2 linked regions of the Drosophila melanogaster genome follow. The protein of the gene in region 1 interacts with the protein of each later gene in a pairwise test. Each region holds a gene or a part of one and is shown on either strand. Other genes may lie near its edges. The genes, in order: Cpr78Cc and CG14419.

Evidence for each region.
Region 2: the proteins of Cpr78Cc (region 1) and CG14419 interact in a two-hybrid assay, tested with the Drosophila melanogaster proteins (one large-scale study listed by BioGRID).

What each region holds. Positions count from the first base shown.
Region 1 is NT_037436.4:21,298,917-21,301,918, reverse strand, and holds Cpr78Cc (cuticular protein 78Cc), read right to left. Parts: upstream 1,340-3,002; 5' UTR 1,299-1,339; coding exon 1,287-1,298; intron 1,217-1,286; coding exon 869-1,216; 3' UTR 748-868; downstream 1-747. Other genes in the region: CG43702 (uncharacterized protein), read right to left, coding at 2,909-3,002.
Region 2 is NC_004354.4:2,884,374-2,887,647, reverse strand, and holds CG14419 (uncharacterized protein), read left to right. Parts: upstream 1-1,733; 5' UTR 1,734-1,776; coding exon 1,777-2,364; 3' UTR 2,365-2,462; downstream 2,463-3,274.

The sequences.
Region 1 (3,002 bases):
TTCTCTAGACTCTTTCTTGGCAACATGATCGTTTTCAATTGTCGGTGTCCACGCTGGAGGTCAGTCTCGGTTGGATTTACATGGAAATGATTGTTTACTGGATATATATTTTTTAAAAATAACTGAGCTGAGGCAACAGGGAAAAAAGCCAAGTGAGTTGATGACCATGCCAGCTTCCACATTTGTCTGTGCTCATGTTCGTCTGGTGTTGCTTATGCTGAATTTTTTCTTTTGCCTTGGTTAGTTCCTGGGTCTGGTTTGCAGTGTGATAAATGATTTTGGACAGCAGTTTAATTTGTCTTAATATGGTAACACATTTCAAACACAAGATTATTGATTTAATTATGAAAAGCATTTGGAAACAGTATGTGCTAATGTTCCTGACTCAGATTCAAGATTGATGAATGAATGAACCGATATTGGAGGCGTACTTTAAAACGTTATGAAAAATCAGGTTAAAATAAAGTATTTTGACACAATCTGACATCTATTTCAAGTTCCTTCATTTGCATCTGTGATTAAATAACCTTACCCCAAAAGAAATATCAGCTCAAAAGTGTGACCTTCCAAAAACAACTAAGATATTATAATATAATTTGTATGCAATTTGGGGTTAAAAATTATGGATTCAAAAACAGACGCTGGGAAGTTTAAGTTTGCAATTTGGTACAGCTAGTTTTTGCCGATTTGTATAATGAAAACATACTTGACTCTGTTCAAATGATCAGCATGGCTGTGGGTATATTTGATGTAACTATTTATGTTTTTATTTTTTGGGGGATTTATGTACAGACTTTCTAGAACTAGATATAACTCATGTTTAGCAAAAGCACTGACTAGGCTTTGAATGGGGTATCCAATCGGGGATTTAGGGCTGTGGAGGGTGGGCGGCGATGTATTCCAGGGCGCGGAGGATGGCCTCCGGGATTGGGGGAGCGGTGGGAAGGTGATCGCCCTGAGGCTGGAAGCCGTTTTCATCGGCGACGTAGGTCAGTGAGATGGGGACGCCTTCGGGGGAGATGTAAGAGCTGCTTCCGCTAATGCCATTGACGTTTCCGGCCTCCTGGGCCTGAATACCATTGCTGGTCTCGAAGGCGTATTGGTAGTTGCCCTCGGCGTCGGCAGGATTAACATCCTCGCGGGTGATCACGGCATCCTTGTTTATGTTGTCCGCATACACATTGGCCAGCATCAGAGCGGCGAGCAGGCAGAGCGACTGAAATGGTTACACACGTTCACGTTCTGATTTTGAATCCGGATCCTTCCGGGCGGCTAAGTCTACTCACTAGCTTAAACATCTTGCTGGTTTCTTGGCTTGTATAATCCTCACTGGTTGGGTGATCTTCGCAGGCGGTGGCTTTTATAGGCAGCCAACGGCAACGCCGACTTTGGCGTTGGCGTCGCCATCGCTGACGTCTCTAATCTGGCTCTGAACTCCAAACGCCGCTCCAAACTAAATATCAAACTTAATACGTTTGTCGTTTTTTTTTTTCGGCAGCAGCATACCGATCGAATTGAATAAAATTCAGCTCAGCAGCTAGTAAAAAAATGGAAAGGAGATCTGAATTTCAGCACCGCAGTGCGAAATACCCTTGCCAGATATTGCTAAGTTTACCTAGAAATCATAGGCATTTGGCTTAGCTTAGTTTAATTATCTGCCTAGCAATTTTCGTCTTAATCGGAAACTATTTTCTTTTTGATTAATCGGGCTTGTGGGCTCACTTCTTTGAGAGCTATTATTTCGTTTTTTTTTTCTTATAGAAGAACAAACAAGGGATTATAGTTTTAAATTTTCCTTAAATAAAGCACAAATTAGCATGCATGGTCATTTAAAATTAAGTGTATTGTGGTAATTCTGTAGAAGTTGGGTAATTCAATGACTAAACTGGCTTGTGTCTTCTTTTTTCAATATAAGACTTTGAACTACACGGCCTCTAAAAGGGGTGTGGCTTATGATACTTATCTTGAAACATTTGCATTTCGAAAACAAATTCAAATATTTATACAATATACTTATCTTACCAATCTCAAAAAAGCAAACCTCTGATCCAAATAATATCAGCCTTAGCTAGAGTATAATGAAGCACCTGAACCCATTCCAAGTGGTTTCTGCCGATGGATCAACACGCTTCTGCCTTGGTAGCGGTAATCATTTGACTTTGCACTTAATGGCCAATAGTAGTTTTGGTTAGCTTTTGGGGGCTTGGAGTTATGTCGACGGTAATGGAACATGTGACTGTGACATTCGCCCGTGGATGGTAAGTTTAGAGATGGACCTGGATTTGGATTTGGATTTGGAAGGGGGCAGCAGCTCGTGGCGAGCTAATTTAATTCCATCCAATCCAATTTATCATTCGTTTCGATTTCATTATCATTGGCCATTTGGCTTGCTATGAGCGCAGGCGGACAACCTGTTTGCTCATCAAGGAATTCTTAAATTCCCCAAAAAAAAAAAACAGCAAGTTCAGCTTATTAGCATACAAATTCGCTGTCCAGTAATAAATTGTATTCTAGGCCTATTCGCACTTAGCACTCCGCCTAATAAAATGCCCATCAATCGACGCTCCACCCGATCTGGCAAACTAGTTCAGCCGGCCCACCAGCATCCAAGCCCTATCCGAAATCTATGACGTATTGGACAGATGGCTACATTCTCTCAAATCTGAATTGCTAAATTATTAAAATTCAAATACACAAATTCTCAGATCATTTCGACGTCTGCTTACCGAATATCACGAGATATTAAACAGCATTTCTATAACGGTTTTAAGCAACTTTTTGATCTATATTTGCATTTGTATTTTTATTTTTATAAACTTAAATACAAATTAGACTCGTTGAAATAAATCTGGTTTCCAATTATGGCAGAACTGCACAGACACACACACACACTCTCAATCATTCTATGTCAGTGCAAAGTTTCGGTATAGAAGCCGTACTTATCCACGTGATAAAACACCCGTATGTATCCTCCCTCGGGCAGGTCAAAGTGGAAGTACCCA
Region 2 (3,274 bases), on another chromosome or scaffold:
CATATATCAAGCGAAGCCATTTAACAGAAGGCCTTTAATTATATGTGCAGTAGTTTGTTTGTTGAGCTTAAGCAAGCCGTATAAATATAAATTCAGCTAATGAATAACAAATAGCCGAAAATGCTAATGGAGTAGATCAAAAATCAAAAAAAAGAATAAAACAAATTATAATTATAATAAGTAATAAATAAAGGAATATGTATATACCAGATGGCGACGAGACTCCGCGCAGCGGTTTCACACGCAATTAACATATTCTCTCTGTTGCATTTAAATTGCTGCATATGGATTACTGTTGCACTGTTGTCAATTCAGCTCTTTTCCCGTCATACTTGTACATTTTTTAATTCATATTGCGAAAAACTTGGACTTTTCTGCCATTTTACAATCCCGTAGCCACTTGGAGAAAAATGGGCAACACTGATTACGCTGTGCTTGCTGACCCTCATCCATCGAAGGCCACTCAGGTCCAAACCACCATGCACCACCCACAACCCATCGACCATCAACGCCCACTTTCGCTCCTTTGGCGGGTCCTTTGTTAATTACTTTTTTTTTCGCAGTGCGTTTTTTATTCAATTACTTGTACAAATTGCAAACAGACAAAAATAATATGGCGAGCAAAAAAAAAAAAAAACGAGCAAGTAATCGGCTACGTTATATCAGGTATCAGGTGTGCGGATAAATGTTGCAATTTGTATGATAGCCCGCGACCTCTGACTTCGTTTCCACTCCCCTTTCTCGCCACCAACCGTTCCCATAACTCCAGGCGTCACTTTGCAGTCGCATTAAACAATTAACAAGTGTAATTGATAAACAATTAGCGGCATTATGAGCCAGCCGCAATGCGAAAAAAATGCATACTCAAATGTGCAAACGTATAAACAAAGGAAACTCGATGCTCAAACCAAGAAAACAAATTCCCATCGAAGTGTACTCCAGACTCTAGAAAATCATTAAGCATACAGAATACAATCAATAAAATAATATTAAACGCCCTAGGCCAAACCAAAACCTGTTTAATAACAAGCATCGAAATGTCCAAAGCATTATTTTTGATAAGCGTGAGTAAGGGTATCTATCGCATGTGAAGCCCATATGATACACAAGTACAATTAATGCTTGATAAGGCGAGAATAATTTGTTAATAAATCCAGCAGCCAATTCTCAGAAAGCGCTAATGACCAACGAAAACTACACGAAAAAATGTTTATATTGGCATTACTTTTGGTCAGCGTCTCGGTACATAAACATATGCATAAATACATATGTATATATTAGTTGTATACCCTTCACAAAATTGGTCTTATGTCTACGAATCGATGGGAATGAATAATATGGATGGATAGTATCTTGAAACAATTATATGATAGTTTACAACTAGCTGTATATACTACGATTATTATTTTAAAATTTAACTACTAGTACATTAATATAAAGTAAAACGTATTAAATACCATAGCATTAATTTGAAAGATTTTCAAAATATCTATGGACTCGGTAACTTGAAAAGTTGGGTATCACCAAAAAACCCCCGAAAACTACAGAATTGCTTTAAAAAATTTCAATGTATAATGACAATTTATAGACGTTTTTCTATCGGCCAACCAAAAAAAAAAAACCAGTCGTACCGTCTACGCCCATCTTATGCAAGGGGGGGCGGGGGGGTAGAGGGGCTGGGGCAACAAAAACGCGCTAAGTGCCGTCTATATAAACAAACGCCAGGCGATGATCTCCATTTAGTTGTCTAGTCGAGGGAAACCAAATCAGACGAGAATGCGCGCTTCCATACTGTTTTTCGGCCTGCTGCTGGTGGCCAGCTGCTCCACGATTTTGGCCAGGCCACAGGAGAGCACTACGCCGAGCACCACCACCTCAACCACCACCACCACGACGACTCCGAAGCCTAAAGAGTCGTCTACAACCACTACGACTACGACGACGACAACGGAAAAGCCCAAGTCAGAGTCCACAACTGCCAGTACGACTACCACAAGCACCACCCCGAGCACCACCACCAGCACCACTCCCAGCACCACTCCCAGCACCACTCCCAGCACCACCCCGAGCACCACCACAACCACTACTACGACCACCACTCCAAAGCCCGATGATGATGAGGCCGCCAAGCTGCTGCAACAATGTGCCGAGTTGAGCCGCCGGAAGAAGCGGGGTGGATCTTCCTCGTCCGAAGAGGACGACAGTGGCGAGAAGAAATCGGCAAAGAAGGAGCGCAAGCAGTTGAAGAAACTGTGCAAGCAGTTGAAGAAGCAGCAGGAGCGCAAGCAGGAGAAGGCCCAGAAATCGGCACTATCGGAACTGGCCGAGGCCTTGAAAAACTACAACCAAAAGCAGAAGAACTAATGTGCCAATAAATCTTTTTTTTTACATTTTTTTTCTTTGTTTTTAGTGTACTTTATAATATTTATCAAAAAGTATGCCAATAAAATGGATCTTTAAATAAAAAGCACACGTTCTTGCTTCATTTTTATAATATCAAAATGTAAATTTAAATGCTATACTATTCTCTGATTAAGAACAGTTTCCTTAAAAAAAGTAAGGAAGTAGTTAGCATAGTATTATCCACCTCGATTCGACTAAAAGCGTACCTTATGTTTTGTACTAGACTAATGAACCCATATGCTGTATAAAACAAACAAAAATATGCGCTGATACAAAAGTATTCATTTTTGTCGTAGATTTTTGAATATGGATTTAAACATGAAATGAGCACGTGAAAAACCGACGCGGCAGCTTTCTGAATGAAATCGAATAAATCTAATCAAATTTGTTTAGATTTTCCCTTTTTTATCGTTTCTATTCCAACGAGTAAAGCAACGAAATAGTAGAAAGTACAAACAAATTTGATTTGTAATCGATTTTAGCTTTATTTGCCTGTACATTAGCACTGCATACGTCAAAATAAATCGTTGAAAACGGGAAAAGTTTTTTTTTTTTATTCATATTTTGCGGAAGGAGAAAGTCAATTTTTCGTAGCATAAATTACATATATACATATGCATATCTGTGTATGCTTTTGCTTCCCTGATTAAGCCAAACTATTTGTTGTATCTACCGCAAGTCGCGCCTAACTTCTTAGCTTGGCAAACACGTTTATAAAGATTAATTATTATTTCTAAAAAAAAACACACAGCCGCCAAGCTCGAGCTAAATCAAAATAAAACCAGACCCGTTTTAAAAAAAAAAACCACATATCTAACGCTGTAACAGCCAATTTTACACGGGCAGTTCGCACGGAGGAAATCAAAAATTA